2 linked regions of the Rattus norvegicus genome follow. The protein of the gene in region 1 purifies or fractionates together with the protein of each later gene. This does not show direct contact. Links are inferred from orthologs where the notes say so. Each region holds a gene or a part of one and is shown on either strand. Other genes may lie near its edges.

The links.
Region 2: the proteins of Pim1 (region 1) and Edc3 purify together in Homo sapiens (affinity purification with mass spectrometry; 3 studies listed by BioGRID and IntAct, counting the BioPlex papers as one, with this or other methods). This does not show direct contact. The link is inferred for Rattus norvegicus from reciprocal best matches to the Homo sapiens genes PIM1 and EDC3.

Annotation. Positions count from the first base shown.
Region 1 is NC_086038.1:7,553,824-7,560,353, reverse strand, and holds the start of Pim1 (serine/threonine-protein kinase pim-1), read right to left. Parts: upstream 3,859-6,530; 5' UTR 3,856-3,858; coding exon 3,774-3,855; intron 3,681-3,773; coding exon 3,574-3,680; intron 3,479-3,573; coding exon 3,428-3,478; intron 3,329-3,427; coding exon 2,962-3,328; intron 1,209-2,961; coding exon 1,032-1,208; intron 122-1,031; coding exon 1-121. UniProt on the Homo sapiens protein: Proto-oncogene with serine/threonine kinase activity involved in cell survival and cell proliferation and thus providing a selective advantage in tumorigenesis.
Region 2 is NC_086026.1:67,004,218-67,010,190, reverse strand, and holds part of Edc3 (enhancer of mRNA-decapping protein 3), read right to left. Parts: intron 5,329-5,973; exon of another isoform or gene 5,222-5,328; intron 3,833-5,221; 5' UTR 3,737-3,832; coding exon 3,579-3,736; intron 759-3,578; coding exon 439-758; intron 1-438. UniProt on the Homo sapiens protein: Binds single-stranded RNA. Involved in the process of mRNA degradation and in the positive regulation of mRNA decapping. May play a role in spermiogenesis and oogenesis.

The sequences.
Region 1 (6,530 bases):
ATCTCGGCGGTGGCCTGGGGCAGGAGAACATCCTGCATCCACGGATGGTTCTGGATTTCTTCAAAGGAGGGCCGGTCCGATGGTCTCAGGGACAGGCACCATCTAATAAGATGTTGACATTCTGCAGAAGGCAGAGCAGACGGGAGGTTAAAAGATGACTCAACTTGTTTTTGTAATGCAAAAGTCTTCTTCCCCAGACCCACAAGTCTGGGTTTTTTTTTTTTTTTTAAAGAGGCGAGTACTTTTTATACCTAACGCTGTCGGGTGGGAAAAAACTTAACACGAAAGCCTCCAGCAGTCTTTCAGTTAAAAAAACGTGCCTCCCCTCTTAAACCTGTGGTTTCAGACTTCAATAGCCGGCCTTTCCCACGACACCCACTCACCAGAAATAGGAAGGATGACAAGGGTTTTGATGAGCCATCACTGAGCAAGATGAGGTGATTCAATTCTTATGCTTACCGACCTACACTGACACTACCCAGAATGAGGTCACCGGGACCACAGTACTTAAGAGAGTTGTTGCCTTAAGGGGAGAAGGCTTCAATAGACCTTGATTTTTTTTTTAAACTTCCGTTTAGATACCAGGTCTCTGCTAATACTTAAAACTTTACAGGGTCTTGGAGTTGGGGCCGGATGTATATAAAACTTATTCCAGGAGTTGGGGATTTAGCTTAGTGGTAGAGCGCTTGCCTAGGAAGTGCAAGGCCCTGGGTTCGGTCCCCAGCTCCGGGGGGAAAAAAAAAAAACCAAAAACAAAAACAAAAAAAACTTATTCCAATTTGAGATGAAATAAAAAATGAAAGAAAAAAAAAAAGGCCTGGATGGGATTCCGAGGCCAAAAGGAGTAACTCTAACCCCAGTAGTTCGGGGCTCAAAGGCAGGTTAAACCCCTACTCTCCCCATAAGAAAATAAAACTAAGAAGGTGGGTAGGAATAGCACCCCCATACTCTCTTGCAATCCCCAAACCAGCCTTTCAAATATACCAACCCTAAAAATGGAAGGGAGAGCTGGGGGAGGCAAGGGAAGTTACCTGAAGAGACCCTTTGCCTAAAGTACACTTGGCCCTTGACGATCTCTTCGTCGTGCTCAAATGGAATATCTCCGCAGACCATGTCATAGAGCAGGATCCCCAGGGACCAAACAGCAGCCGACCTGCCGTGGTAGCGATGGTAGCGAATCCACTCTGGAGGACTGTACACTCGGGTTCCTACCAGCAGAGGGAATAGAAAGAAGCCGGCATTAGCAAAAATAAACAAAGCAAACGGTCGGAGCCCAGAGCCCTTCTTTAAAGATTTTTTTCCTCGGGACAGAGTTTCTCTGTGTAGCCTTGACTGTCCTGGGACTCACTCTGTAGGCCAGGCTGCCCTGGAGATCTGCCTACCTCTCCCAGTGCTGAGATTAAAGGCATGAACCACCACCACCACCACCACCACCAGGCTTTAAAATACTTCTTAAAGGCAGTGCCTGGCTTGGATTGGGCAGCACATGCCTTGAATCCCAGGTCTCAGAAGGCAAGACTTTGAACTTTAAAACAATCATACACATTATTTACACTACATCTCTGCCTCTTTGGTCCAGACAAGTGATATGGTACCTATCCAGGAACCCAAACCCTAAACCCAAATCCTTTACACACTGGCCCAAAAGACAGAGGCAGCGAAAAGCTGAATCGTGGAGGCCCTAATCACTCAGCGGGATAACCTTGAACTACAACGACTCCAAAGACTTTGCCAGATTAGTCTCATCTAGAACGGGCCACTTAAGGACCCTTATACACAACACTGAAGTCAGGGTGTGCTTTGGAAACTCTCCTCTGGGTTTTTTTTTTTTTTTTTTTTGGTTCTTTTTTTCGGAGCTGGGGACCGAACCCAGGGCCTTGCGCTTCCTAGGCAAGCGCTCTACCACTGAGCTAAATCCCCAACCCCTCTCCTCTGGGTTTTAGGCCCCGGACACCTACACTCTTTCCTCCCCAAACTGGAAAGGTACGATTGCAGGGCTGGTTTCAGACCACGTGATTCCTGTTTACAAACTTTGGGTAGTAAAAAAAAAAAAGGCGCTAACCTCAAGGTGCCCAACAGGGGGCAGTAAAGGCTTGCCCAGGGGAGGAAAACACAGGGGAGGACTCAGCCAGCCATTAACTGTTAAATACAAAAAATGCAGCCCAGCCCAGCATCCTCCAAAGAAATTCAAACCACAAGCCAGAGTCACAAGTTTTGAAAGGACGTAGTTTGTTGGGGTGAGCCGCTCAGATCATGACCCACCCTCGTGCTTTGATCTACTATTCCCTCCCCTCCTTTTCTGAAAGAACGCGATCCAAGCCCCTCCCTAGGATAGATAGGTTTTCAGCCTCCCTGAGGAGACACCCAACTAATTTTCAAACCAGCAACAGATCTAATTTCACAACATTCGTCCCAGGCCTCGTCACCCCACAATACCCCCGAGTGGAGTGAACCGCGGCTCTTAGTCCTTTGCCCTCAAAAACAAAACAAAACAAAACCCGGCAGTTCTACGAACTACCTTAAAACTCCCACACAAAAACAAAACTACAAACAAACAAAAAGAACCCGGCACTAAAGTCTCCCGCCACCACCGGCTCCACCTCCTACTGGCGAGAAAAGTGGGTCATACTTTAGAAATCTGGGCTACAGCCGGATTGCCCACGACCTCTTATTCACGGGGAAAGCATGGAATTTACTAAATTCCTACCAAAAAGAAAAACAAGCAAACAGCAGCAGCAGCAACAACAACAAAAAAACCAATCACGCCAGAAATGCTTGTTGCAGGTTTTCAACCAGCTTGAAATCCCCGGCTGTGCTATGCCGGGAAGCTCGCCTCTGCCCCACCCCTGCCAGCTCTGAGCCAGGCGGCCCAATGACCTTTACAAAGGGCCGGAGCCGAGGCCGCCGGAGGCTTCCAAGCCGGCACCTTGGGCAGAGCTCCCTCCCCGGGGCCTGGCTCACCGTCAAAGTCCGTGTAGACTGTGTCCTTGAGCAGCGCCCCCGACCCGAAGTCGATGAGTTTGAGTTCGCCGCGGTTCAGGTCGATTAAGATGTTCTCGTCCTTGATGTCGCGGTGGAGAACCCCGCAGTTGTGGCAATGCCGCACGGCCTCCAGCACCTGCCAGAAGAAGCTCCGGGCCAGCTCCTCCTGGAGGGCTCCTCGCTCGGTGATGAAGTCGAAGAGGTCTTGCACGGGTTCGGGCCTCTCCAGGATCAGCACGAAACTATCGGGCCTCTCGAACCAGTCCAGAAGTCTAATGACGCCCGAGAAGCCCGAGCTCACCTTCTTCAGCAGGACCACTTCCATGGGCACTCGGGTGCCGTTGGGCTGCAAGGGTGAGTGAGGGCGAGGGTTAGCGCGCCGGTTCCGGCACGCCCGTCACCACCCACCCACCCGGGCGAGGGTCTCGGGCTCTGGCTCACTCACCAGTTCCCCCCAGTCGGAAATCCGGTCCTTCTCCACGTGCTTGATGGCCACCTGGAGGAAAAGACAGACCCCCCGAGTCTCCATCAGACCCTCCAGCTCAAAGCATCCCTCCGCGCGCCCTCCCCAAGGCGGGGTTGCCCACTCACCGGCAAGTTGTCGGCGACGCGGATGCCCGAGTAGACCGAGCCGAAGCCACCGCTGCCCAACAGCGGGCCCACCTGGTACTGCGACTCCAGGGGCTCCTTCTCTTTGCCTGGGAGAGAGGCACGGGACACTAAGCGCGCGCGGCCCACGCGGGGGTCCCCCCCAACGACCCGCGCGCCCGGGGTGGGGTGGGGACACTCACCCGGCGCCAGCTTGTTGGCGTGCAGGTCGTTGCAAGGCGCTGCGCGCAGGTGGGCCAGGGAGTTGATCTTGGACAGGAGCATCCCCACCTCCAGGGTGTCGGTGCGGCGCCGGTGCCGGGACGAGCAGCAGCGGCGGCGGAGCGAGCTGGGGCTGAGCCGACGGCCCGGACTCAGACTGCGGGTGGTGTTGCGGCTCGGGCTGCGGCTGGCGCGCAAGGCCGAGGGCGAGTCGGAGGACGACTGAGGGCGCTGGCGGGGCTGGCGGCAGGAGGGCTCGCCGGCCGGGTCAGGCAGTGCGGAAGGCGGCGGGGCGAGAGGCGCCGCGGGACCCAGGGCTGCTGCTGACTGTGACTGCTGCTGCTGCTGCTGCTGCTGCTGCTGCTGCTGCTGCTGCTGCTGCTACTGCTGATCCCGCCGCCGGCGCTGCCGACTCCCCTCCAGCCTCCTCCGCCGCCACGGCCGCTGCTGCAGACGCCCGGCTCGCCCCGCCGCCAGGAGTAAAGGGGCGGAGCGCGCCGCTGGGGAGGGCGCGCGCGGCGGGCGGGGACGGGGCGGGGCCTCTCCGGGAGGCCGAGGTGGGGAGCCGGGCTGGCGCGGCGGCGGAGGGCGGAGAGGGGGCGGGGAGGCGGCGGGACCAGGGCCGCTCCCCTCCGCTCCGCCCCCTCGCAGCTACACCCCTCGGCCTCGGCCCCGCCCCCGGGCGAGGCTGCAGCCAACCATAAGCGGCCTGATCTGCATAAGGCGTTGCGGGCCCCGCCCGGGCCCCGCCCCGCGCCTCGCGGTCAGAATGGTCGCTAACGCCGCCACGACGTGGCGGGAAGGAAAAGGCGCCAAAACGGAGGGGGAGGGGCGCTGGGCGTGCAGGGAGGCGGGGAGCTGGGTGGCGCGCGCGGCCGGGGGAGGAAGGATGGGGAGGGGCGTATCGATTCAAACCCAAACAATAACAAAGCCATCAAAGGCCGCCCGAGGCCAGCTCCGCCGGCTCTGCGTTTCCCGGAGATTTGGGGTGTGGTGGGGGGTCGAGGGTTGGAGCTGGAGCGTAGCAAGTTGTGAGGAATGGAAGGGCGTTGGTGTGGCCGGCGCGGAGGCCATGAGCAGGGGGACCGCGTGTGTGTGGATGCCGACCAGGGTGGTCCTCTGGTGTGACTCAGCCGGGAGACCTCCAAGGCTGCTGGGGTGGGTTGACGATGCACTGTGGGCTAGATCCCGGGGGTGGCGATTGTGTTTCGGGGGGCGAAGGGCTGTGCAAGACGTGAGTCACCGGCGTTTGCACACCGAGGGAGTCACAGGCCTGCGAGGGGAGTTGGGGGGGGGGGAACCTGGGCTGCGAGGAGCGGGTGACAAAAGATTCTCAATTTAGAAAACGAAAAAGAAAATCATAAGATACCAGAAGGTTCTGATCCCCTCAGAAAGGATCCGGGTCCGAGCGCCTGGGAGAGAGAAAATCACGACACAAATGTTAGCTCTCTCCTGCCAGATGCTGCCTCAGCCCCTTCCGAGAGGGCGGGAGGAGCAGGAAAATTCCTGATCGCGGGCGAGGGTGGGAGGGTGCCGCTGGGTTTAATCAGAGGTTGCTCCTGTAGTCACCTTCTTTCTCATCAGCTTGGTATTAGCAGTCAGGCGATACCAGCTATTCTTGGCCCGGGACCGGAGCCTTGTCTCAAAGGAAAGGCCCCACGTGCACGTGGAAATACCGCGTCTTTTGTCCTTTTAAACTTCAGGGAGAGTTGATAACGACGTGTGAAATTGGGAGACTCTCATTCTGTGTAACCTATACACTGAGATGCTAGTGGCAGGGAGTCATTGAAAGCCAGCTACACCCCATTTTCGTTATTTTTGCTTTTTTTTGGGAGGGGGGCGGTCCGAGAGATCTTGAAAGGAGCAGACTGTCGAGCCTGTTACAAAGCCTGTTACAGATGTAGTCATTAACGTGTTTAAAGGCTTCCTTTACAAGTTTTCCGTGGTGCTTATAAAGATACCCAGAGACTCCGTAACAAAACATTACATATTTCCCTTTTGTTTTTGTTCTGTGGCCCAGCTCATTCATTTCTGATGACGAAAGGAGAAAAACCCAGGGGAACAAGAGTTACTTCCTTTTTTGCAGATAGGAAAATGAATCGTAAGTGGGATGACACAGGGTCATACGACAGGCTGGGGAATGACCCAAATTCTGCTCCTGAGGGTTCAGAGCTTTCCTTTAAACTCCTGTGACACTGGCATTGAACAGGGCATCAGAAAACAGGTATGCCTAGAATTGGGCCCAGCATTCTGGTCCAGGCCAGCCTTGTCTACATAGAGAAAAATCTGTCTATAAATAAATTACTTTAAAAACACCAGTGTACCTCCAGTCCCATCAGGTCCTCAGCTCTGTCTAAACAAGACTATTTCCACTTGTTTTCAATCTCCCAGCACATTCCGGGCTTTGTGACTCTGAAAACCAAGTCCACCTGTCCAAAGGGCCCTGTCCTCTTCTCGGAATGTGTTTGATGTTGGGAAATAAATCCAGAGTCCTACACGTGCACCCTGCCCCTGAGCTACGCGCCAGGCGCCAGACCTCTCTCCTCTTATCCAGAGCCCTGCGTTCTGAACGAGGAACACGTCGTATTTGCACATTGTTGCTGGACAAACTCCCAAGTCTTCATTCACTGTCCCTCCTCCACCCATCTGACAGTCATGTGGGGTTATTACAAAGGAAAAAAAAATCTTTCTGGTCAGAGGATGCTGTTTAGTGGGTAGAGTATTTGCTTGCCAGACAT
Region 2 (5,973 bases), on another chromosome or scaffold:
ACCTCAACAAACAAAGCAAACAAACAAACAAACCAATCAGCTTGTTAGAAATGAAAGGTAACAGCAATGCCTACACTAGCCCCTCCTCTCTAAGTAAAAGTCTACTCAAGAAATTAGCTGGAATACCCCAAGTAGAGTCAATCAGGTATCACAACCCCAACAGTTATGAGATTTAAAACATGAATATGGTGCAGATCCAAGACCTTTCCTGAAGGGAGAAAAGTGACAAAGTGGGCAAGAAGCTTGGGTGAACCTCTAATAAGTCATTTCCTTTTCCTTGGTATCTTGAGGGACTGGCCCTAGAATGGCAGAAACACACTGTATCTCCATGAAACCCTTTGTATGAGGAATCACGGACTCATGGAAGGAGCAACAGTAGGTAAGTGTTTACAGCCTGAAACACCAGGTTACAAAAGACAGCACCTTGACTGTACTTACAGGAGTTGTGCCGACGACGGAAGCTCTTGGACTGACTCAAAGACTCCATGTGCCTGTCCACATAACTCTTTGAGCACTGCTGCTGCTGAGGAGAAATGGCAACGTCCTGGCTCTTCATATCTGTCCTCTTAGGGATGCTCTGAGGGGCACTACTGGAAGAGGCTGGCTTCTTGACCACCTTGCCTGTTCCATTCTGATTGATACTCATTTGGTACCCAACACCAGAAGGGCCTAATTCTGTCTGATGAAGGTCTCCAAACTGCTGGTTGTCTCCAGGACCTGGTATCTCCAAGATTTTTAATTCTGTAATATCACCTGCCCTGAAACACACAAAAGTCCAAGTCTCAAAATTATAGTAGCAATAGGAAAGTGGTAGAGATGAAACTGGGGTTAAGGAAGAAACTGCACTCTGCAAAACTGCAGTAACTCAGGGTTAACAGAAGTGAAATTAAGAAAGGTAGCAGGACATCTACAGACCATGCCCAGCCACCAACTTGCAACTCATACACTACTTTAGAGACCCAGTTGTTAAGAACAGCTCTATAGCCTCCTTAGATTTCCAGAATGCTAGTAGCTTTCTTAAATTCTTTCACCCATTTGCTTTTCAACATACAATGCCCTTACTATGTGGTGAGCCCTGGTTATGAGCAAGCTACACAGAGACACAGTACTTCCTTTAAGGGACTCAGTCTGCGCACTGGAAAAGACACATGCAGAGGACGCTAGGGTGAAAGACATCTCACCCAGAGAGTCAGAGACTAAGAAAATCTGGCACTGTCCACAGGAAGAACTGCAAATGTTCTCTACGGTAGTACATAAGGAGAAATGCTTGTGGAAGGCTATCGGGAAGGTAAGGTGATAATCATAAGCACAATAGACTTTTCCATGGCAACAGGAAAGAGGAAGGAACCAACAGGGCATTGCAGCTCTTGCCCAGAATCCTACATTTAGGAGACAAAGGCAGGATCGCCACCTCCAATCATCACCATTTGAAGGCAGCATGGTTTACATAGAGTTACAAGGCAGCCAGGATGATACAGTCGCTCTTCCACCTGTTTTTGGCTTTTCTGTGCTGGACAGCTCCTGATGGGGATTTTCTTTGAAACTCTAAGAGTACTCTCTAGATCATCATATTTGGGAAAAAGTTTATTATGATTCTTTTTTTTTCTTTTCTTTTCTTTTTTTCGGAGCTGGGGATCGAACCCAGGGCCTTGTGCTTGCTAGGCAAGCGCTCTACCACTGAGCTAAATCCCCAACCCCGTTCATTATGATTCTTAAATTTCCTTTTTAAGGTTTTGTTTTCTTGGACCCTGGACATGGTGGCACAAGCTAACGGATCTCTGTGAGTCCAAGGCCAGCCTGGTCTACAGAGTGTGTTTCAGGTCAGGCAAGGTTATACTTTTGAGACCCTGTTTTAAAAAATGTTTCCCTTGGGTTGGGGATTTAGCTCAGTGGTAGAGCACTTGCCTAGCAACCGCAAGGCCCTGGGTTCGGTCCCCAGCTCCAAAAAAAAAAAAAAGAAAAGGAAAAAAAAAATGTTTCCCTTGGGTTGAAGAGATGGTTCAAAGGTTAAGAAGGCTGGCTGCAGGGGCTGGGGACTTAGCTCAGTGGTAGAGCGCTTACCTAGGAAGCGCAAGGCCCTGGGTTCGGTCCCCAGCTCCGAAAAAAAAAGAACCAAAAAAAAAAAAAAAAAAAAAGAAGGCTGGCTGCTCTTCTAGAGGACACATAGCTGTCTGTAATTCCTGTTCCATGCAATCCCACTCCCTCTTCTAGACTACCTAGGCACCAGACACACATGTGTTACATAGTTAATGCAGTCTCTCACATTGAGAAATTTTAATTTTTTAAGATTCTTTACATTCATTCATTGCATGGGGGAAGGGTATAGATGGAGGGGACAGAGTGTCACAGTGTGCACATGGAAGTCAGAGGAAATGTGCTGGAGCTGGTTCTGGGGACTGCACTCGGGCTGCTAGGCTTGTGAGCAAGCACTTTCTCTTGCTGAGCCATGTCACCAGTCCAAGTCTTAAACGTCTAACTTTGGTGAAAGGTGTCAATAATATGACCAGGCCTCCCGAGGAAGAAACCTGTAAATAAACGTGTTCAGCTGCAGGTCTTCAATCTGAGGTATCTTTTAGACCACCCACCTGGGACAGACGGGAGACAAAGTATCTAGAGCTCAGCTACATGTATGAATCCACATTCCTCTGACAACTATGAAATCAAAGTATTAAGAGGATACTCTGTGTACTACAGTATCAAATATTCAGCCATGTTAGAATTGAATTCTTTTTTGCTGTTGTTTTGAGATAGGTTTCTCTGTCTAGTCCAGGCTGTCCTGGAATTCTCTCTGTAGACTGAGCTAGCCTTGAACTCATAGATACCTGCCTGCCTCTGCCTCCCAAGTACTGGGATTAAAGGCATGCACTACCTCTGCCAACTCAATCTTGCATTCTTTATGTAAAAATAAGTAAGCACATCCACCTTTTATAAGTGGTAAAGTTCTATATATACCAAAGATTATATAAAAGATTCTATATGGTCCAATAACAATAGATGTTTTATTGTATATCTACTTTCTATGCCTATATATTACGATTACTTTAACATATCTAAAATAGCTAGAGAAGCAGAGGCGAGCAGAATTCTGGGAGTTCCAGGCTGGCCTGGGCTGCATACTGCAATCTTGTCTTGGTGTTTAAGTAAAAAAACGTGGGGTTGGGTATTTAGCTCAGTGGTAGAGTGCTTGCCTAGGAAGAGCAAGGCCCTGGGTTCGGTCCCCAGCTCCGAAAAAAAAGAAAAAGAAAAGAAAAAAAAAAACCAAAAAAAACAAAAAAAAAACCCGTAAAAGCCCCAATTTTTGAAACTCCCCACCCCCCACAAAAAAAGAGAAAGGGGCACTTCTGAATTTGGCAGTTGAGTCCTGTGCAAGCCTGGCAAGAGATAGTACAGGATGATGACTGTATTACACCAGTCTCCACTGAGAGGAACAACAGAACTCTAAGGCCTGTAAGACTGAACTCTCCTTTCTGACAAGACTCAACTCCAACAGCCCAGGCAAGAAGATACTGTCAATCACCTCGACTCCAGCACCTAACCCACCAGGCTGGATTTTGGAGGACGTCGGTCAGGACACTTACCGGAAGGTGACTTCTGGTACAAGACACTTCACCCCATTATGGAAGGGCCGAGTAAGAGAAATGGTCTGGCTGACCTGATCCACTGCTGATACTCTTCCCTGGTAGACGCCCAGGCTATCTCCACAGTTGATAGACACAATACTGCCTAGCCAATCCATTGCCTCGTGTCGGATGTGAAGGCTCCGTGCAGAACCAGTACGTCAGGCTCTGTGCTCAGTGCTGTTGATAACACTCTGCCACTAAGGTGATAAAGCCTGGAAACAAACACACAGAAGACGAGCATTTGGTAAGAAGTGAGGTGTAAGTGCACACACCTTTGTTTTGGATTTGTTTTATTTTGTGAGACAAGGCCTTACAGTGTAACTGGTGGAACTAGAACTTACTATGTAGATCTCAACCATACAGAGGTTTATGCGTCTCTGCCTCTTGAGTGCTAGGGTGAAAGGTACCACCACACCCAGCTTAAAATAACTTTATTCCCAACGTTGGGAGGCTGGCGGGAAACAGGCAAGTGGATCTAAGTTGAGGCCAGGCTGGTATACAGAGTAAGTTCCAGGTAGCTCACACTACCCAGTGCGAATCTATCTAAAAAAACAAAAACCATCAGTAGGAATGTGCATATTAATATGCAATATTGATACACGTATGCAAAGACCATGTAGATACCAGGTGGTGGTGGCACAGTCCTTTAAACCCAGCACTCGGGAGGCAGAGGCAGGTGGGTCTCTGTGAGTTTGAGGCCAGCCTGGTCTACAGAGCCCAGGGCAGGGCAGGTAACAGTGCAACGTCTTTCAAAGAGAGACAAAGTATTTGACTAAGCAGTGGAATGCTATTTACCTCACAAGCAAGGTTTAAATTTTAGCACCATCAAAACTTTAAAAAAAATTAAAAGGCTGAACAAAAGGGGCTGGAGAGAGAGCTCAGCAGTTAAACACTGGTTGCTCTTCTGGAGGATCCGGGTTCCATTCCCAGCACACATGTGCTGGTGACTCCAGTTCCAGAGAATCTGAGGCCCTCTTCTGGCCTCCTCAGCCACTGCACACACCTGATGCACAGGAACACACTCGGGTAAACTTTTGTACATAAAAATTTTAACTAAATAAGTCACTATAAATAAAATTAAAGTGGGTTCAGTCCTCAGCTCCAAAATAAATAAATAAATTAATTAATTAAATTACTATCTATAAAAGACACCTATTAGCCAGGCGGTAGTGTCACATACCTTTAATACCATCACCCACCACTCAGGAAGCAGAGGCAGGAGTTTGAGACCAGCCTGGTCTACACAAAGAAACTCTATCTCAAAAACAAACAAACAACAACAAAGGCACCTACTGTAGACTTGTTTCCATTCCTTGTCAGCTTTTGCCTACTTTATGTTAGGGTAGCATCAATTTCCTTTTCTATCATTTATACTCCATAATCTTATTTTGGCACCTGCTTTAGATAACAGCATTATAAAAAGCTGTCATAAAAACTAAAAAAAGAACAAACAAACAAAAAAAACCAACTAAAATTTAACAAAATGGAGAGCAGCTCTTGTTTTTCCAGTTAATATGTATTTTTAAGGCCCTGATATTCTACATTCAAATTTATACCATGCTAACTGAATCAAAATGTTAGCACTAAGAAAATGTGGCTTTGTGCTCGCTTTGGCAGCACATATATTAAAAATGGAACGATACAGAGAAGATTAGCAAGGTTCCTGCACAAGGATGACACACAAATTTGTAAATTGGTCCATATTTAAAAAAAAAAGAAAGAAAGAAAAGAAAAAAGGAAAATGTGGCTTTTAGTTGTTAAATGCAAGTTTTTACTTGCTTCTATACTGATGTGCAACTGTCCATTTTCATTGGAAATTCCCCTATAAAATACATTGACGAAATACTGAAAATTAAATCAAATGGGTTATCCTATAAACTACCTCTTGGGTGTGGTGGTGCATGCCCGGAATCCCAGCACCTGAAAGGCTGGAACAGGAGGATTGCAGCAAGTCTGAATCCAATCTGTCCCAGAGAGCAAGCTCTAGGCTATTCACAGCTACACAGAAAAACCAGGCTCAGAGGAAAGAACATAAGCCAAAATTTCCTAGGACTGGGGACACAGCTCAGTTGGAGAATGCTTTCCTAGAATGTGTGCATGAATTCTGGATCTATTCCCCAACACTGAAAACAACAACAACAACAACAACAAAGAGTAAAACATTTTTCTTTACCCACACACTACTAAGGTTTTGTTTTTTTTTTTAAAAAGCTAGGGCTTGTGAAGCAGGAAGATAGACAGGAGCTACAAAAGAACTTTTTTTGGGGGGTGTCTTCTGTTTAGCTCTGGCTGTCCTAGAACTCATTATGTAGACCAGTCTGCCTCAAATTCAAGAGATCTGCCTACCTGTATC